Lepisosteus oculatus: one gene and its partner. The protein of the gene in region 1 purifies or fractionates together with the protein of each later gene. This does not show direct contact. Links are inferred from orthologs where the notes say so. Each region holds a gene or a part of one and is shown on either strand. Other genes may lie near its edges.

Region 1 (10,519 bases):
GTCCAGTCAGTCAGTCAGGGTCACTGTGCTGTAGTGTCCAGTCAGTCAGTCAGTGTCACTGTGCTGTAGTGTCCAGTCAGTCAGTGTCTCTGTGCTGTAGTGTCCAGTCAGTCAGGGTCTCTGTGCTGTAGTGTCCAGTCAGTCAGTCAGTGTCCCTGTGCTGTAGTGTCCAGTCAGTCAGTCAGGGTCTCTGTGCTGTAGTGTCCAGTCAGTCAGTCAGGGTCTCTGTGCTGTAGTGTCCAGTCAGTCAGTGTCTCTGTGCTGTAGTGTCCAGTCAGTCAGTCAGTGTCTCTGTGCTGTAGTGTCCAGTCAGTCAGGGTCACTGTGCTCTAGTGTCCAGTCAGTCAGTCAGTGTCTCTGTGCTGTAGTGTCCAGTCAGTCAGTCAGGGTCTCTGTGCTGTAGTGTCCAGTCAGTCAGTGCCTGTGCTGTAGTGTCCAGTCAGTCAGTCAGGGTCACTGTGCTGTAGTGTCCAGTCAGTCAGTCAGGGTCACTGTGCTGTAGTGTCCAGTCAGTCAGTCAGTGTCTCTGTGCTGTAGTGTCCAGTCAGTCAGTCAGGGTCACTGTGCTGTAGTGTCCAGTCAGTCAGTGTCTGTGCTGTAGTGTCCAGTCAGTCAGTGTCTGTGCTGTAGTGTCCAGTCAGTCAGTGTCTGTGCTGTAGTGTCCAGTCAGTCAGTCAGTGTCTCTGTGCTGTAGTGTCCAGTCAGTCAGTGTCTCTGTGCTGTAGTGTCCAGTCAGTCAGGGTCACTGTGCTGACCAGTGTCTCTCTGTGTCTCAGGACTATGTGGACTCTCTGAAGGGCCTGTGCTATGATGGGATGGAGGGGCTGCTGTATCTGTGTCTCTATTCCTTGCTGTCTGCTGTGTCCTTCACCACTCTGCTCTGCTCCCTGCCCGGCGCCTGGAGGGGCTTCTCCAGGTCAGGGCGTCCGCGGCTCTGCCTGTCATCGCTGTGCTAGACTAGAGCTCCTCGATCTCGTCAGGCATTCAATTGTTATTAAAACTCCTGCTTCAGGGGTGTTCTTCATAAACTTCTTTCTCTGTCTTTTCCCACCTGGCAGCGACTCGGACAACTATGAAGACTCCGACAGTGAGAGCGAGGACCCCTTTCCTTCTCACCAGGCACGTAGACAGACGCCCGCGGGCTCCCAGCGCGGTGTCCTACCTGGTTTCTATAGTTACCAGGGGGCCAGCTGGGCTCCGCCCTTTTCCAGCGCACCCCCCCTCCCGTGAGTAACAGACAGGCAGACCGACACGCACACACACCACTACACACAAACGTTAGACGCACACAACGACACACGCACTGATACATGCACACACACACTATCTGACACGTACACACAGACTGACACACAAATACACAAATTCACAGATACAGAGACTCAAACACACACACAGAGACACAGACAGCTACACATACACACACAGATACAGACACTGTTTGCCTGGTCAGAGGGTGTGAAAATACTACTGAGGCAGTGGGTCAGTCAGTCAGTCTGTCTGTCTGTACTTTCCTCTGATTTAATGACAGACAGACAGAAATGATGCTTCATTTCAATAGGATTAGGAATGATCTCAACCCAGTCTCCTCTCTCAGTGCAGTGTTCATGTACTGGAGTGTCCAGTCAGTGTGTCTGTATTAACCCCTCTCTCTCAGTGCAGTGTTCATGTACTGGAGTGTCCAGTCAGTGTGTCTGTATTAACCCCTCTCTCTCAGTGCAGTGTTAATGTACTGGAGTGTCCAGTCAGTATGTCTGTATTAACCCCTCTCTCTCTCAGTGCAGTGTTCATGTACTGGAGTGTCCAGTCAGTGTGTCTGTATTAACCCCTCTCTCTCAGTGCAGTGTTAATGTACTGGAGTGTCCAGTCAGTGTGTCTGTATGAACCCCTCTCTCTCAGTGCAGTGTTCATGTACTGGAGTGTCCAGTCAGTGTGTCTGTATGAACCCCTCTCTCTCAGTGCAGTGTTCATGTACTGGAGTGTCCAGTCAGTGTGTCTGTATGAACCCCTCTCTCTCTCAGTGCAGTGTTCATGTACTGGAGTGTCCAGTCAGTGTGTCTGTATGAACCCCTCTCTCTCTCTCAGTGCAGTGTTCATGTACTGGAGTGTCCAGTCAGTGTGTCTGTATGAACCCCTCTCTCTCTCAGTGCAGCGTTCATGTACTGGAGTGTCCAGTCAGTGTGTCTGTATGAACCCCTCTCTCTCTCAGTGCAGTGTTCATGTACTGGAGTGTCCAGTCAGTGTGTGTGTATGAACCCCTCTCTCTCTCAGTGCAGTGTTAATGTACTGGAGTGTCCTGTGTGTCTGTATTAACCCCTCTCTCTCTCTCAGGACTCCAAGCACTTCCTCCAATGGCAATCCTGGATATGAGAGCCTCCCCTTGATTGACAGGCAGTCCCCGCCCCCCTCGGTGAGGCTCCCATTCTGGTGGCAGGTGGTTACTCTCCTGAACGGATTGACAGAATCCTTCTCTAATTGGAGAGTAGTCACCTGAAGTCCTTTTCATCTGTAAAGCCCAGTCGCTTAGTCTCGGGGATCATTCATAACATGAATCTTCATCTTGCTTTTACTTGAGTAACTCCTTTTATTTTGTTTCTTTCCTTTCATTCCTGGGGCACCCCTCTTGGATTTCCGCAATGGATCGCTCCGACTCCGCCCTCTCCTCTGTCTGCGGGTGGCCCCGCCCCTCCCTCTCTCTGATTGGACAGTATTCACCGAGCATGATGACTGGCTATGGAGGCAGCCAATCGAACTCGAACCCCACCTACTCCCAGATCCTCTCTTTACACTGAAGGTCCTGTCCTTGTCCTGTCCTCTCGTCTGGCCAGAGGCTGTGACCGTGTTTGTAAATGACGGGTTTAATTATAAAACTGCTGGGCTGGTGGAGGGAGCAGAGTCACTCCATTTCATCAGACAGACTGTGACCAGAGTGCATACTGGTCAGCCTGACTGGGACAGGAGTGGACACTGGTCAGTATGACTGGGTCAGGAGTCAACAGCGGGCAGTCTGACTGGGACAGGAGTGGACACTGGTCAGTCTGACTGGGTCAGGAGTCAACAGCGGGCAGTCTGACTGGAACAGGAGTGCACACTGGTCAGTATGACTGGGACAGGAGTGGACACTGGTCAGTTTGACTGGGTCAGGAGTCAACAGCGGGCAGTCTGACTGGGACAGGAGTGGACACTGGTCAGTATGACTGGGTCAGGAGTCAACAGCGGGCAGTCTGACTGGGACAGGAGTGGACACTGGTCAGTATGACTGGGTCAGGAGTCAACAGCGGGCAGTCTGACTGGGACAGGAGTGGACACTGGTCAGTCTGACTGGGTCAGGAGTCAACAGCGGGCAGTCTGACTGGGACAGGAGTGGACACTGGTCAGTTTGAACGTGGCAGGAGTGGGCACTGATCAGTCTGACTGGGACAGGAGTGGACAGCAGGCAGCCTGACTGGGGCAGGGGTGGACAGTGGACAGGAGTGGACAGTGGTCAGCTGTAAGTGAGACGAGAGTGGCGCTGCTCCTGTTTGATGTTTGTGTCACCAGGGTGTCCTCCTGACTGCACAACACACCCAGCCTTTTCTCCTGTTAGCCTTCTAATGAGCTTTTATAAAGAGGGACCGAGCACTGTCAGACCTGATAAGGGATCTGTACCCTTGTTTATCACTGTGTATTCATAGCAATAAAACTCTAGCTGCGCTCCTGACACTACAGGTGCTACTTCTGCTTAATTAATTGTGTTATTAATTATTATTCTTCTTCTGCTGTACTCTCCCCGGAGCCGCTGCGGTCTCTGCAGGCGTCCGGGCGGGGGACAGCGCCCCGCGCTGCGCAGGCGGGCCAGTGTCACTGCAGCTCTGAGGTGTGGGGGAGCTGGTGGACTGTGTTTCCAGATGACGACCCTGTATTGTCCCCTCTCCTGCCTCTAATAAAGTCGATCTCTGCCAGACTGGGGTCTGTGTCCCGTGTGTGTGAGGCTGTGGGGGTCATTACACAGGGGCCGTCAGCACAGACACACGTCAGTACACACAGGTACAAACACATCGCTACACTGACAGACACACGTCAGTACACACAGGTACAAACACATCGCTACACTGACAGACACACGTCAGTACACACAGGTACAAACACATCAATACACTCACAGACACACGTCAGTACACACAGATACAAACACATCGCTACCCTCACAGACACACGTCAGTACACACAGATACAAACACATCGCTACACTCACAGACACACGTCAGTACACACAGGTACAAACACATCGCTACACTCACAGACACACGTCAGTACACACAGATACAAACACATCGCTACACTGACAGACACATGTCAGTACACACAGATACAAACACATCGCTACACTCACAGACACACGTCAGTACACACAGATACAAACACATCGCTACACTGACAGACAGACATCACTACATACAGATACAAACACATCGCTACACTGACAGACAGACATCACTACATACAGATACAAACACATCGCTACACTCACAGACACACGTCAGTACACACAGGTACAAACACATCGCTACCCTCACAGACACACGTCAGTACACACAGGTACAAACACATCGCTACCCTCACAGACACACGTCAGTACACACAGATACAAACACATCGCTACACTGACAGACAGACATCACTACATACAGATACAAACACATCGCTACACTCACTGACACACATCAGGAGATGCTCTATGAAACGTATGGTTACACACACTGATACACAAACACGTGCCCTGTCTCTGTGGGGAAATGAAAATGTGTGTGACTGATACACGTATTGCATAATGTACAGTACAAAACTGTACACAATGTACACACTACACACTGAACACACTGCCGCCTGTACAATCAGCGCATGAAAGATAATCTCCAATAAAACGCGCTCTCGGTCATGGTGACCTTAAAATGAAACGCGCTTCCTTTTACCTGTAATTACAGAAGTGAACTAAATATCATTTCGTGCAACTGATGCGTTTCCTTCGTGCAGAAAAGGTGGATTTATGTATCTTGGAATCGGTCAGGGTAGCTGTTGTTTTGCTGTTTTTTAGAGGTGAAAATCTTTGAAGAACTACGGTAATTTGAGAGCATGACGTCAGAATCATGCGCCTCGAATCACATGACAGCAGAGGCGAAGGGTCTGTTGTGCTGACAGTGGACGGAGACCTGTCGTTATCTTAACTGTCGCTCGAAATATTTTTAGCGTTGCTGTCAGCTCTCGCAGTATCGGCGGTAGCAGCAGTCGAGGTAGTTCTAGGTCTTGCTACGAGACAGACATCAAACTCTTTGTAGTTTACTTAAGTAAACACCGCCAGGCTCAGCGCAGAGAAGGTAAGACTTCGTCAATAATGTCCTCAGTTATACGATTGATCCTGACAAGCAAGTAGTGTGTAGTCGAATTAAATCGCCTGTCATATGATTTCAGTGTATTCTAAGAGCTGTCCTGGACTCCAGGTGTGTGTGTGTGTGTACAGTGTGTCCAGTAAGAGTCTGGACTCCAGGTGTGTGTGTATACAGTGTGTCCAGTAAGAGTCTGGACTCCAGGTGTGTGTGTGTGTGTGTGTGTGTGTGTGTGTGTGTACAGTCTGTACAGTGTGACCAGTAAGAGTCTGGACTCCAGGTGTGTGTGTGTATACAGTGTGTCCAGTAAGAGTCTGGACTCCAGGTGTGTGTGTGTGTGTGTGTGTGTGTGTGTGTGTGTACAGTCTGTACAGTGTGACCAGTAAGAGTCTGGACTCCAGGTGTGTGTGTGCATACAGTGTGTCCAGTAAGAGTCTGGACTCCAGGTGTGTACAGTGTGTACAGTGTGTCCAGTAAGAGTCTGGACTCCAGGTGTGTGTGTGTGTGTACAGTGTGTCCAGTAAGAGTCTGGACTCCAGGTGTGTGTGTGTATACAGTGTGTCCAGTAAGAGTCTGGACTCCAGGTGTGTGTGTGTGTGTATACAGTGTGTCCAGTAAGAGTCTGGACTCCAGGTGTGTGTGTGTGTGTGTGTATACAGTGTGTCCAGTAAGAGTCTGGACTCCAGGTGTGTGTGTGTGTATACAGTGTGTCCAGTAAGAGTCTGGACTCCAGGTGTGTGTGTGTGTATACAGTATGTCCAGTAAGAGTCTGGACTCCAGGTGTGTGTGTGTGTGTACAGTGTGTCCAGTAAGAGTCTGGACTCCAGGTGTGTGTGTGTGTGTGTATACAGTGTGTCCAGTAAGAGTCTGGACTCCAGGTGTGTGTGTGTATACAGTGTGTCCAGTAAGAGTCTGGACTCCAGGTGTGTGTGTATACAGTGTGTCCAGTAAGAGTCTGGACTCCAGGTGTGTGTATGTATACAGTGTGTCCAGTAAGAGTCTGGACTCCAGGTGTGTGTGTGTATACAGTGTGTCCAGTAAGAGTCTGGACTCCAGGTGTGTGTGTGTGTGTATACAGTGTGTCCAGTAAGAGTCTGGACTCCAGGTGTGTGTGTGTATACAGTGTGTCCAGTAAGAGTCTGGGCTCCAGGTGTGTGTGTGTGTGTACAGTGTGTCCAGTAAGAGTCTGGACTCCAGGTGTGTGTGTGTGTGTACAGTGTGTCCAGTAAGAGTCTGGGCTCCAGGTGTGTGTGTGTATACAGTGTGTCCAGTAAGAGTCTGGGCTCCAGGTGTGTGTGTGTGTGTACAGTGTGTCCAGTAAGAGTCTGGACTCCAGGTGTGTGTGTGTGTGTGTACAGTGTGTCCAGTAAGAGTCTGGACTCCAGGTGTGTGTGTGTGTGTGTATACAGTGTGTCCAGTAAGAGTCTGGACTCTAGGTGTGTGTGTATACAGTGTGTCCAGTAAGAGTCTGGACTCCAGGTGTGTGTGTGTGTGTGTATACAGTGTGTCCAGTAAGAGTCTGGACTCTAGGTGTGTGTGTATACAGTGTGTCCAGTAAGAGTCTGGACTCCAGGTGTGTGTGTGTGTATACAGTGTGTCCAGTAAGAGTCTGGGCTCCAGGTGTGTGTGTGTGTGTACAGTGTGTCCAGTAAGAGTCTGGACTCCAGGTGTGTGTGTGTGTGTACAGTGTGTCCAGTAAGAGTCTGGGCTCCAGGTGTGTGTGTGTATACACTGTGTCCAGTAAGAGTCTGGACTCCAGGTGTGTGTGTGTGTGTACAGTGTGTCCAGTAAGAGTCTGGACTCCAGGTGTGTGTGTGTGTGTACAGTGTGTCCAGTAAGAGTCTGGACTCCAGGTGTGTGTGTGTGTGTGTATACAGTGTGTCCAGTAAGAGTCTGGACTCTAGGTGTGTGTGTATACAGTGTGTCCAGTAAGAGTCTGGACTCCAGGTGTGTGTGTGTGTGTACAGTGTGTCCAGTAAGAGTCTGGACTCCAGGTGTGTGTGTGTGTATACAGTGTGTCCAGTAAGAGTCTGGACTCTAGGTGTGTGTGTATACAGTGTGTCCAGTAAGAGTCTGGACTCCAGGTGTGTGTGTGTATACAGTGTGTCCAGTAAGAGTCTGGACTCCAGGTGTGTGTGTGTGTGTGTGTGTGTGTATACAGTGTGTCCAGTAAGAGTCTGGACTCCAGGTGTGTGTGTGTTTATACAGTGTGTCCAGTAAGAGTCTGGACTCCAGGTGTGTGTGTGTGTGTGTATACAGTGTGTCCAGTAAGAGTCTGGACTCCAGGTGTGTGTGTGTATACAGTGTGTCCAGTAAGAGTCTGGACTCCAGGTGTGTGTTTGTATACAGTGTGTCCAGTAAGAGTCTGGACTCCAGGTGTGTGTGTGTATACAGTGTGTCCAGTAAGAGTCTGGACTCCAGGTGTGTGTGTGTGTATACAGTGTGTCCAGTAAGAGTCTGGACTCCAGGTGTGTGTGTGTGTGTGTGTGTGTGTGTGTATACAGTGTGTCCAGTAAGAGTCTGGACTCCAGGTGTGTGTGTGTGTTTATACAGTGTGTCCAGTAAGAGTCTGGACTCCAGGTGTGTGTGTGTGTGTGTATACAGTGTGTCCAGTAAGAGTCTGGACTCCAGGTGTGTGTGTGTGTATACAGTGTGTCCAGTAAGAGTCTGGACTCCAGGTGTGTGTGTGTGTACAGTGTGTCCAGTAAGAGTCTGGACTCCAGGTGTGTGTGTGTGTTTATACAGTGTGTCCAGTAAGAGTCTGGACTCCAGGTGTGTGTGTGTGTGTATACAGTGTGTCCAGTAAGAGTCTGGACTCCAGGTGTGTGTGTGTATACAGTGTGTCCAGTAAGAGTCTGGACTCCAGGTGTGTGTGTGTATACAGTGTGTCCAGTAAGAGTCTGGACTCCAGGTGTGTGTGTGTGTATACAGTGTGTCCAGTAAGAGTCTGGACTCTCTCTCTCAGTACCTGTCTCTCTCTCCCCAGATGAATGCTCTGGTGGCGCTGTGTCACTTCTGTGAGCTCCACGGGCCCCGGACCCTCTTCTGCACAGAGGCTCTGCACCCCCCATCTCCCTCCGTGCCCCCCGACCCGCCGCTGGCACCCCCGGCCGGCCCCTGCCCCCCCCCAGAGCAGGACAGGGAGCGGGAGGGAGAGGGAGTGGGGCTCACCATGCGAGCCAGCGGTTCGGCCAGTCAGAGAGCGGACATGTGTGACGTGAGTCTCTCTGAGGGCAGTGTGTCAGTATCGACCCCTCTGTCTCTCTGAGGGCAGTGTGTCAGTATCGACCCCTCTGTCTCTCTGGGCAGTGTGTCAGTATCGACCCCTCTGTCTCTCTGGGCAGTGTGTCGGTATCGACCCCTCTGTCTCTCTGGGCAGTGTGTCGGTATCGACCCCTCTGTCTCTCTGAGGGCAGTGTGTCAGTATCGACCCCTCTGTCTCTCTGGGCAGTGTGTCAGTATCGACCCCTCTGTCTCTCTGAGGGCAGTGTGTCAGTATCGACCCCTCTGTCTCTCTGAGGGCAGTGTGTCAGTATCGACCCCTCTGTGTCTCTGGGCAGTGTGTCAGTATCGACCCCTCTGTCTCTCTGGGCAGTGTGTCAGTATCGACCCCTCTGTCTCTCTGGGCAGTGTGTCAGTATCGACCCCTCTGTCTCTCTGAGGGCAGTGTGTCAGTATCGACCCCTCTGTCTCTCTCTGGGCAGTGTGTCAGTATCGACCCCTCTGTCTCTCTCTGGGCAGTGTGTCAGTATCGACCCCTCTGTCTCTCTGAGGGCAGTGTGTCAGTATCGACCCCTCTGTCTCTCTGGGCAGTGTGTCAGTATCGACCCCTCTGTCTCTCTGAGGGCAGTGTGTCAGTATCGACCCCTCTGTCTCTCTGAGGGCAGTGTGTCAGTATCGACCCCTCTGTGTCTCTGGGCAGTGTGTCAGTATCGACCCCTCTGTCTCTCTGAGGGCAGTGTGTCAGTATCGACCCCTCTGTCTCTCTGAGGGCAGTGTGTCAGTATCGACCCCTCTGTCTCTCTGGGCAGTGTGTCAGTATCGACCCCTCTGTCTCTCTGAGGGCAGTGTGTCAGTATCGACCCCTCTGTCTCTCTGGGCAGTGTGTCAGTATCGACCCCTCTGTCTCTCTGGGCAGTGTGTCAGTATCGACCCCTCTGTCTCTCTGGGCAGTGTGTCAGTATCGACCCCTCTGTCTCTCTGAGGGCAGTGTGTCAGTATCGACCCCTCTGTCTCTCTCTGGGCAGTGTGTCAGTATCGACCCCTCTGTCTCTCTGAGGGCAGTGTGTCAGTATCGACCCCTCTGTCTCTCTGGGCAGTGTGTCAGTATCGACCCCTCTGTCTCTCTGAGGGCAGTGTGTCAGTATCGACCCCTCTGTCTCTCTGAGGGCAGTGTGTCAGTATCGACCCCTCTGTCTCTCTGGGCAGTGTGTCAGTATCGACCCCTCTGTCTCTCTGAGGGCAGTGTGTCAGTATCGACCCCTCTGTCTCTCTGAGGGCAGTGTGTCAGTATCGACCCCTCTGTATCTCTGAGGGCAGTGTGTCAGTATCGACCCCTCTGTCTCTCTGAGGGCAGTGTGTCAGTATCGACCCCTCTGTCTCTCTCTGGGCAGTGTGTCAGTATCGACCCCTCTGTCTCTCAGGGCAGTGTGTCAGTATCGACCCCTCTGTCTCTCTGAGGGCAGTGTGTCAGTATCGACCCCTCTGTCTCTCTGAGGGCAGTGTGTCAGTATCGACCCCTCTGTCTCTCTGGGCAGTGTGTCAGTATCGACCCCTCTGTCTCTCTGAGGGCATTGTGTCAGTATCGACCCCTCTGTCTCTCTGAGGGCATTGTGTCAGTATCGACCCCTCTGTCTCTCTGAGGGCATTGTGTCAGTATCGACCCCTCTGTCTCTCTGAGGGCAGTGTGTCAGTATCGACCCCTCTGTCTCTCTGGGCAGTGTGTCAGTATCGACCCCTCTGTCTCTCTCAGGGCAGTGTGTCAGTATTAACCCCTCTGTCTCTCTCAGGGCTGTCGTTCTCTCCCGGTGGGGCACCCAGGGTTCGTCAGTGTGGACAGTGAGACAGGAATTCGCTTCGTCAGTCATCAGCAGCCCCGGCAGCCTCAACTCTTCAGCATCGTCAGGCAGGCCTGTGTCAGGAGCCTGAGCTGTGAG
Region 2 (11,077 bases), on another chromosome or scaffold:
ATGCCAGTTTTGAGATTTGAAGTAATTGTTTCCAATATTCTTCACATCTTCAGCAACAGACAGGATTTTGTCAACCTATATAAATAAAACATATAAATATAAATTAAACACAGAAAATGATGCCATAGAAAACAAACATTAAAGTCAAATGTAAAGCAAGATTTTAAAACACTAAAGTGGTTTGAGAAGCCACCTTTAATGGTGCTATAATAATAAACTTTATTCATAATACTAATCATAATACCACGGAACAAGTAATAGGTTTATTCCATGCTGAAAAGAGAAGAAAGCAAACACAACATTTCGGCCGTGGAGCCTTCTTCAGATGCTCAAACCTGAATAAAAGTGATGACATAGGAATAACAATTATCAAAACATTTAAAATAATCAGTATATCTGAGGCTCAATCTCTGTTCCTCTATAACAGACTATAACAGGATATATGTTAATACCCTGCCAATTCCAGAGAGTTTCCTGCTCTTCTACTAGTTGGATTGATGGATGTTGTGATTCTAGCAAGTGTAGTAATTCTGTTTAGATTCCTTATTTTAGGTAAGAATATTTTGTCTAATCTCTGAGAACTTCTTGCAGTGTAGCAGAAAGAGCATCTCTGTCTGTTTCTCTTTACTGATAGTGGGAACACAGCCTGGTCTAACTAGTTAGCCAAGTTTGCCTGTGTCACACAGTTTCTATATCCAGGCTGTGGTTCCTGAACCTATAATATGTCAGTCTCCGCTTCTCCTTTTTGTCTTTCACTATGGTCACAATACTTGTCCAGTCCGTATATTCTTTTAATGACCAGATAAACTTGTCATTTTACTTATTTTCAGAGGCTTTCATTCAGAATTTCCAAAAGAATGTACTTTAAAATTAGTTACAGCACCACATAAAGCCTCTGACTGGTATCCACCCACACAAAAGCAGTAGACTTATTTGAGATGCACAACAAAGTGAGCGTTTGAAAACAGCCTATGAGTAAAACGGATCCACCTCATCAATGTACCACTGTTACAATGCTGCAGCTTGTGTTACATGCAATTGTTAGTCCATTTGGCTTTTACCTGAAAAGTAGACGGTTCAGGCGCACCCAGAGACTCTTAAGATTTATTGGGCTGGGTAGGCCAAGTGACCTATCATTTATAACTGTTCTTATGCTCAGCTCTCTTTAATAATACATTGGGACATTTTTAAGTTAGTTTTATCGTACTCTGTCACTCTCAGTATGTAATGCTGCTTTTTTCTCAATGTTCATAATACAAAACCATGAAAATGTAAAGGGTAAAAGTCAGCAGACTGTACTTACATCTTTGAAATGAATATCTGAGTCCTCTGGAAAATCAGGATAGGTATCCCCTTCTTCATCATTTGGAGCAATTCCCCAGTCATCTCCTTGCTTAAGCTCCCCACAGTCAGCTATAACACAAGGCTTTCCAAGGATTCAAAGAAATAGATTAGGCCCAGGCCTTCTTGGGCAGGATTCATCAGCTGAAATCTACAAACTATACTTATTTTCATCTGTGTAAGTCAATCAGCAGGGAAAAGTACTGCAGCAACTGAAACACACAAACACAGACAAAGCCCTCTTGACCTGGAAAGTAGTTAAGGTGACAGTTTTGATAAATAAATGTATCAAAAAAAGTCAAACCAATGATCCAAGCACCCGGGTCATTATGTTTTAGCTCTTAATTTTACAAAACAGAACAAAATGACCAGGCACAAATGGCAAAATGCCTGTTTAAAAATTACTGCAATAATTTGCTGTGGTTAGTAATAAGGTTCTTGCAACCCTCCCCCCCAATTAATCACTGATCAGTCATTAAGGGCATGATGTGTATAATGGTTTACTCTCACTTAACAAAGGGATTTGAAGTCAAAATTGTACTTTCAAATTTCATCACAATCTGCAAGTTAAATCAAGGTTACCAAATAAGGTACCCACAAAACAAAAAAGATTTGGGCACCTGACTGACAAAAAAAAAACAAACAGATTTGTATCCCAAATAAATAATTATTTACTTAAATTAATAATTTAAAATATGGGGTAAGATCAGATGAGCAATACAGTGCAAATACAAACCGGAGCTAATTAGCTATCATTAGAAATGCTATTAATGCCTCACTGTGAAAGCAAATACGTCAAGGTAAAACTTAGGACAGTTATAAATAGAAGAAATTTAAGAACACATTAAAAATGCTACCAGCATGCCGTGGCAAATACACATGACAGCGCTTACTTTGAAGATGCAGAAAAAATAATTGCAATTTGCTTCTACATATTTGATCCATTTAATGCATACAATCCCATAATAAAATTCAGAATATTTATTTGCATGGAAAACTTTCAACAAAGATAAGGACACAAGGCATATAATGAAATGCTAACAGGAATAAAGTTGTTACTCTAGTTGTAATTTCAGCTGTGACAACAAAGTTAACCACAATGGCTAAACCTCTACACAATTAACAAGAAAAATTGTTTAATTAACTAATGTTCTCAAAAATAGAATATATTGAATTCATTTTCCATACCTTGACAGGTGCATCATCTTTAGTCTCCATTGCTTCAAGGATTTTGACCACACCCATGCCTTTCAATACTTGTCCAAAGACTACATGTTTCCCATCAAGGTGTTCAGTTGGTACTGTGGTGATGAAGAACTGAGAGCCATTTGTGTTTGGGCCAGCATTGGCCATACTCAGCAATCCTTCTTTGTCATGCTGTAACAGAAAAATTAGAAAAGACCTTTATGATGAAATTCAATTGAATTCAGTTTTATTTGTATAGCGCTTTTTACAATGGACATTGTCACAGAGTAGCTTTACCGATTTCTAGGCCTGCACCCCAGAACAATCTACAAGTTAAATCATTGTAACCACATAAGGTACCGAATACGAATTTTCACCTTAATTGTGACTTACCTTATAGTGAAAGTTTTCATCTTCAAACTTTGCTCCGTAAATACTCTCCCCTCCAGTACCATTTTGATTGGAGAAATCTCCACCTTGGACCATGAACTTCTTTATAACTTAAAAAAAATGTACCAATGTATTATTAAAGAAATCACATTCAGTAATCCTTTGTCAATTGGGAAAGTTTTGTACATTATGATTAGAAAATATGGAATTAGTCGGCCAGAGCTCTGACTCTCTGTCTCTCAGCAACACAGCAGCCCTTAGCGTCTCCTGGGCGCTTGCAGACGCATCTCTCCTCCTATCAGCACTTAACCGGTGGAAGAGGGATATTTTGTCTGCAACATGTTAAAAGAGAAGTTATGTGGGAAGGGGAGTCTGCCAACTCTTCCTCATTCTCCTCTGTGCACAGTTCATAGCTATGAGCCGAGATGTAAAAACTGGCTAATCCAAACCAGTTGGGTACAGCAAACAAGTAACTGCCTTTTCTAAAACTGTGAACAATGTACAGTTCAACAAACTGTATTTTTACACTTTATACCCGTGTCAAGGAATGAGAATGTCAGTACTTCCATCTGCAACTATATGTCTTCAATGGATGGTAAGGTTTGTAAAGTTTAAATATTAAACGAATACTCACTCCTGTGGAACGGACATCCTTTAAAATGGAGTGGTTTTCCAGTCGTTGCACCTATTCCCTTTTCTCCAGTGCACAGGGCTCGGAAATTTTCAGCAGTTTTAGGGACAACGTCAGCAAACAGTTCCATCACAATGCGCCCAACTAAAATGCCAAGGATTATAGTTAATACCTGTAATGTATAATCAGTTAAGACATTTTAACCATGCAGGGACCATCTCAAGTTTAAATTTGAGACAAACCATTTACTAAGTACTTAGTACATCTATTAAGGGTCAGTACACCTGGTCCTGGAGAGCCCTAATGCACCACATTGTAAAGGCCAGCTAATTTTTAATGACTGTAACCACTTATAAGTTATTGATCACAAATGCAAATAGTATTAAATTAAGGGAACTCTTGTCCTAGAGGGCTTAAAATGTCTGCTCCAAGTGATCCTGGAACAATGGGTGACCCCATTTGCGATACCCTGGAACAGGTCCTAAATGAGGACATGTTCAAACTTGAACAGTATTGAAACACATATGAAGTCAAACCAAGCCCCTCAAAAACAGTATCGAGTCTATTTAACCAAATGACCCATCAGAAAATGCAGCATTATCGTAGTCCAAAATACCATGGAGTCTTCCAGACCCCTTAAGGAGAACAGCAGCTAAGATCAAAACAAGGAACAATCTGATCTCCAAACTTGCTGGTACAACACTGGGAGCTGCCACTACCATCCTCAGGACCTCAGCTCTTGCACTCTTTCTCAGCAGCAGAATACTGATCATCACATACTCACAGAGTAGACACCCAGCCACCATGCATATCATCACTGGAGCCCTATACTCAACCCCACTCTCCTGCCTCCCTGATCTAGTGAACATCACTCCTCCACATATCCAATGACTCATAATAACCCACAAAATGTTTTAAAAAGTCCAAAATGCTCTTCACCTGCCACTTCACGGAGACATATTTAATCCACCAAGTATACATCTGCGTTCAAGAAAACCAGTCTGGAAAAACCCTCCGTAGCAAGACTTCAATGCAGACGCCAGCTGGGATCAAGGAAGGGAATCACCATGCGTAACAGACAAGCACCTCATCACATGCCCTACCCAACAATCCTGTGGTTTTCACTTCTCAAGAAAAAAAGTGATCAGCTCTCACTTTAGAAATAGTCATGGTCCATGTCTTGAACAGGAACAAAGCCCTCTGTGTTCCTGTGAGATGGAGCAAACTATGCAGCACATCCTAGAGGACTCCCCAATCCACAGACTCAGAGGAGAAAAACACAACCTCAACAACCAGACCAGAAGCCATTGCTTGTCTCAGGGACTTGTCTCAACAGACATTTGGGTGCAACCAGTAAAATAAGCTTTGCGAGAATGAATGAATCGAATCAATACAAAACAGACAGGTACAACAAACGTGTCTGGTCCAATGCCTAGAGTACGTGCACTCTTTTTTTTTAATTTGCAATTAAATGTCTATAGGTATCCCTATATTTATTGTCCGCCTGGATGTATATATACATAAATTTAGCTAGCAGTGTGCATAGTGCTCTTGAAAGCGACACGAAAACACACATTTTAAAGAAGAATAAATGTTTAAATAATTACAGATCAAAGCTATAAAACAATATTAAACAAATCAAGTGCTCGTGTATATGTATAGTAATAATGTCCAGGAATATCTGAAACATGCGTCTCGACGATCGGCATGCAGTGTCTGTTGGTCAATAAAAATCCTTACCTCTCTCTCCTCCTACATCCACATCAAAGAAAGCCCGAGGGTTATCTGGGTTCATAGGTTTACTCTGAAGCGTGGGATTTGACATTTTGCCTATGGTATAATAAAGCAACCTCTTCAGAACCGTCCTTCTCTTATCCTATGTAGCCGGGTCGTGTGCTGCCAACAGCCAGAAACACTACTTCCGCCGCAGAGCTGTAGACATCCGGGGCCTTGACGCCGCGAGAAATGTTCTCTGGACAATTCCGAGAGTGAAGGGCGGGAGGGGAAGAGCAGACGTGCTGTAGTAGATTACAGTGAAAATCTGCCGTGATCTCTTTTAAAATACACATCTTTTTTGTTTTAGAATTTGACAGTCATTGTATTACGACAAATCGTGACTTTTTTAGTAGATACAGTAGATATCTGAAGTATTTTACATTTCATGTCGTATTTGGACCAAATATACAGTACTGAGAAACTGGGAAAAAGGGAGCAATGTAGGATTTCAAGGAATGACAGACATTAAACAAGTACTTCAATAAATATGAAATCAAAAGGGCCTCAGTATGGAAAAAGTAATAAACTTCGTCAATATTAAGCACACGTGGTCTGATCATTTTAATTGCAATGGCTTTAGAGTGCTCCTCTTTAACACATCCCAGCGGCATTTGCTGAACTAAGGGTCCAATGGCTGACAGGTTTGCCGTATGTGTGTGTGATCTTGTTGTAGCCAATGGGGAGCGATCTGTGCCTAATTCCTGTGTGTGGCTGAGGCTGCACTCCTGCCTTTGAACACTCACATTGTCATATGACTCCGATACCGATCCATGGAGTTACTCTATTTCAACTCTTTACCATGGCCACGCACCAAAACCAAAGCAGACGAGCTCGATACCTTTAAAACGGTATGCCATGGCTCCTACGCTGCTTCAGAAGCTTTTTAACAAAAGAGCCAACGCGGCTTCTTCATCGAAGGGTTATAAAGGACCCGAGCTTTGGTGAGTTTGAAGTCAATTGTTTTCAAAACGCCAAAAATACATGTTGTTGTACTGATTGTGCGTAGACAATATTCTTCAAATTGCTTAACAATGAATGAAACACGCAGTGGTGCAAAATGATATGGAGCGGGCTTCGATGAGTTTGTGCGCTCTGCATTTAAAAGGGAATTTGTCTTGGTATATTGATTTAAACCTTGTGAGCGAAGGCTCACAGTCTATCTACAACTGACGTAATGTGTAATGGCTTGTATGGGATTTTGTTTTCGATTAGGACTACTTGTTGCCAATTCATATATGTAGGTTGTTGTTTAACGTGCGTGTTATTAGAAAATATTCTAGAAATGGATTGCTAAGATACATTTGCAATAAAGGCGATTAGTGCAAGCTTGTGATTATGTTGTCTGTAGCTAGGTGGTGTAGTACCACTGGTGTAATATTTCGTGAAAGTTCCACCCAGGACGTTTTTAAGTAGAAATGATTAAATTAGGGTTTTTGTAATTTATCTATTTTAAGCAGGCACTCCACATTCTAGAAGTGTCTCGGGGCCTATGTATTTCGTTACTCTGGACTATTGTTTTGCGTCGGCTGGCGTTTCTTGTTTTACTTTTCTTAGAAAATAATCGCAGGAAGTTAGACGCTCTGGGGACTGAATTCTGTTATTATCATAAATTAAAGAGTGATCGTTTTACTTCATAAGGTGAAAACGAGCTTCCCCAAAATCAGTTTGATGACTGTTGAAGGGACATTTGAAAATATTCTGTGGTTTAATGTCATGGAGTTAGTTGGCCAACAATGCAACCTGTAGTAGCACAATATAGTATGTTCTAATTATTTCCTCAGTGATTAATGTTCTAAGCTTTTAATGACTTGCAGAAAGAAACGTTTCATCTCCACTGAAGTGATTTAAAATTGTAACTGCTGATTGGGATGTACTAAAAAGGCCTATTTATACACAATCCCAGGATGTATTGTATGAAAGTGCTGAAACATGGGGGGGGGGGGAATGGAGAACTACATTGACAATGGACCTGTGATGTAGACAATTCATGTATGTTGTAGCATGCAGCTATTTAAGTTAATATGTAGTGTAATCACAGAGCAAGTGGGACATGGGGATCTCCGATATACTGCTCTTGGCCATTCTTGCTGGGAAGGAGCCAAGTGTGTAGATCAAATCCCATGTTCCAGCTTATGTTATAATAATGTAATGTAGTAATAATACATTATTATAGCTATTGGATTGTCTATTGTCTACCAGCTATTGGAACAGTCACTGGGAAACAAACTTTAATGTTAAAAGACCTTTTAAAGAATTTTAAAATTTTATAGGTGGATTAAGATGGTTCTAGGTAACTGGTCCTGTTGTGAAAGTGCACATCTTTATGTGCCCTGTGATGGACTGGTGTCCCATCCAGGGTGTGTCTCACCTTATGCTTGTTGCTTTCTGGGAAAGACTCCATCCAATTCACAGTTGCAGGGGAGCTGGAGTGGTTAGAAAATGGATAGATGGACAAAGGATACATTTGGACTGTCACATGTTTCAGTTTGTAACAGATGATCAAAGACACTACAGAAAAGAGTAAATACTCCACTAATTTTTTTTCACTGTGATTTAAATATAGGTAGGACACTGCAGGACCACTGCTCTTCTAAACTGATATCAGCATTGATATCTAGATAGAATTATATTTTGGTAAACAATTCAAGCAAGGTGATGCCAAAAAGAAGGATAAGCAAACAGTATAGGACTTATGAAAGATGTTCAACATTGCAAAATGCAAGACTTGGCAACCACCTGGCAGATGACATTTAATATAAACAAGTACGGAGTGTTACATGCAGGTAGTGCAGGCAGAAGAAACAAAGCTATGCGTATATGGTGGGGGAGGCTGTGAAGTTGGAGAAGCAACATATGAGAGACACTTCTAGGCTCTCTTTCAATCAACAGCTGAAAATCTCTTTCCAGTTTGTTAAACTTGTCTAATTAAGCTAATCATTAACCCTTTAGGCCATTAAGAGCAGAGGTGAAAAACCTGCAGATGCAGACCTGGAGTTGTGTGCCACTATTCTAGACAATGTGGTGGGGAAGAAAAAGACATGCAGAATATTAGGCTATATAGATAAACATGTCAAATTTAAAATCAAGGGATGTTATTAAAATGAACAATGCACTAATAGAAACAAAATGTACAATTTTGGTCACCATGTTATAATAAAGATTTTACTGCTCTGAAATCAGTCCAATGAAAAGGAACCAGAAACATTCCTGCTCTTAAAGGAATTCCCTAAAATGACAGACTTGGAGAACTGAATCTTTTTAGTTTAGAGAACAGAGATGTCTGAGGAGATCGAATTAATGTATCCAAAATTCTAAAATGGACAAAGTACACATAATTGGCCTCCTTAGTGATGGTGAAACACAAACAGGATGGGACACTAAAACAGAACAAAAGACACATTTTTACACAAAGGTCTGTAGGAGATTGGAACAGACTCCCCTGCCCTGTTGTTGTATTTGAGTCCCTGGCTTCTTTCAAGAAGCAGCCAAGTAAAATCATTGGACTGCTTAGCTACTAGCAATCAAATAAAGATCTGAAGTGGTTCCTCTCATTTAAATTTTCTTATGATCCTGTTTTCTTTATATCTTTAGAATAAAGAAAATGTTTTTTTTACATTAGTTACTCTACCCACTATACAGATTTATGCACTCTAGCACTTGTATGAAAACTTCACTTTTTTTTCTTCCCAAAGCGGCTATAAATCTTATTTGAACCATGTTTTCAAATCATTTTTCGAATCCATGACTAAAAATCTCCCTTGTGATTCTTGGTTTTCCTGTAATTCCGCCACAATTCGAAACTGAGAGTTATAAATGGGAACCTCACTGAATACTGTAATGTAAGGCATCTTTACCTTTGAACTACTCTGCTTTTCAAGGTCAATGAATATTATTTTTAATGTTATAGTTGGATATCATTCATTTTTACATTAACTTAAACAGAGTACTGCATTAGCCACCAAATGATGATGTCACAGCATCACTAATTGAGGCATAACTTTGCTTTTACATGGGAGGTTTCTTACATGAATATACATGTTATGACTGTCCGAGTTACCTTACTTGCCTTTAGCCTGTGCTGCCATGGATTAGCTGAATGAAAGGTGAAAATACAGCAAACACGAAAGCTTAACCATTCAAACTGCATGTCTGTGAAACTTCTTCAAGCTACCTCGTATGACTCTAAATAAAACAGATCTTTTAAACTAAATGTGTATTGAAATGGTTTTTCTAGTTTCTTTTTACTTGTTTCTCTGAAAGTAGCTTCCATTCAGTGTGTAAAACATTATTGCATTAAGATAACTGTTTATTTGCTGTGAGTCAATGGTGAAAACATGGGAGTTGCTTAATCACAAATTTGCAACACCTTTGGTCATGTGAATTTGTTTTGAATCATTCCTCTTAAAGTCTTATGAAAGTCATTTAAAAGCATAACCCTTTTCTTGAATGTTGGGTGATGAACAAATTCCTATTTCTTGTTTTATCTGGTAATTCATACTTTACTGTGAATGATAAACATTATTGTGCTGTGTTTTCATATCGGAGATGAAGACTATAAGCCATGATTCAGTATTAGATATATATATCTTGTATGTACAAATATTTAGGTTACAGTATGAAACTGTAATATGTTTTTTATATAGTAATGGTAAATATAAGTGCAATAAATTGTGGTCAATAAATATCAGTGATTTTCAGCAATATATCGAATACTGATATAGTTCTATTTAATATTAATATTATGCTTCTTATGATTTGAAATAAATAGTATGCGAAAGCATTGTGGAAAATCTATGTAATGCTTATGTTTAATTTAGAAAAAACACCAACTAATAAATATGACCATTTCTATATAAACTAGCCAGAATTTCTTTTAACTTGGAAAATGTTTTTTTTTGTATTTGTAATTATTGCAATAGTGAGGTGATTTATTTTAGCTCTTAAATGAAATTGTCTACAAAGCAGATGGGGTTTGTTTTTAGTCATACTAAAAACCTTCAGGGTACTGGCTTGTTTTAGTTCATGTACTTTTCTGAGAAGGGAGCATGAGGATCTACTCTATGCATTTTTAGGTCCTTGGGGAAAATCTAATCCTTATGTAACACTACTTTTTCTGTTCTTAGGTTAGCTTTGCATAGGAGGGATAACGATATTTCATAACTTTAACATTTTGTGCCGTTACAAAGCAAGTCATTTGCTGGTGCACCAGCTTTTAACGGCTTCACCTTTCACCCTTTTCTGTCTTCTGCTGATGTGATGATCATATCAGCTTTCTTTCCTGAAACTCTGTGCATGGCAGCCTATGCAGTATCTAAAGTACCACTGCCATCATATGCATATGAGTGCAGTTAATGGAATCCGAATGAAGAAGGTAATTGTAAAGGAGGTTGTGCCCTTGGTGACAGTATAGGAAGACTTCAAAATGTTGCACTACTGCTTCTCTCCTTATTTTATTTTGGATAAACTTCAATAAACACATGACTAAAAAATAACAGCTCGTGTTTTATTCTCCACTGGAAAATAAACTTGGTTACTTTTGAAGCTAAACATGGTACAAGACATAGATGTGGCATCACTGTCTGACACAGTGGTTAGCATTGCTGCCTCAGTCCTGTGGCCCTGGGTTCAATTCTGAACTGAAGTGCTATCTGCATGGAGTTTGTATGTTCTCCCTCTGTTCACATGGGTTTCCTCTATGTGCTCCCATTTCCTTCCCTGGGCCAGACGCATACTGGTAGGTTAATTTGCTTCTGG

The links.
Region 2: the proteins of flcn (region 1) and fnip2 purify together in Homo sapiens (affinity purification with western blotting; 5 studies listed by BioGRID and IntAct, with this or other methods). This does not show direct contact. The link is inferred for Lepisosteus oculatus from reciprocal best matches to the Homo sapiens genes FLCN and FNIP2.

What each region holds. Positions count from the first base shown.
Region 1 is NC_090718.1:1,062,718-1,073,236, forward strand, and holds the start of flcn (folliculin), read left to right. Parts: upstream 1-5,124; 5' UTR 5,125-5,354; intron 5,355-8,349; coding exon 8,350-8,580; intron 8,581-10,372; coding exon 10,373-10,519. Other genes in the region: ttyh1 (protein tweety homolog 1), read left to right, coding at 777-916, 1,059-1,226, 2,332-2,410, 2,709-2,792. UniProt on the Homo sapiens protein: Multi-functional protein, involved in both the cellular response to amino acid availability and in the regulation of glycolysis.
Region 2 is NC_090696.1:23,506,079-23,517,155, reverse strand, and holds the start of fnip2 (folliculin-interacting protein 2), read left to right. Parts: upstream 1-6,022; 5' UTR 6,023-6,178; coding exon 6,179-6,264; intron 6,265-11,077. Other genes in the region: ppid (peptidyl-prolyl cis-trans isomerase D), read right to left, coding at 1-75, 1,304-1,426, 2,530-2,718, 2,920-3,026, 3,551-3,691, 5,288-5,372.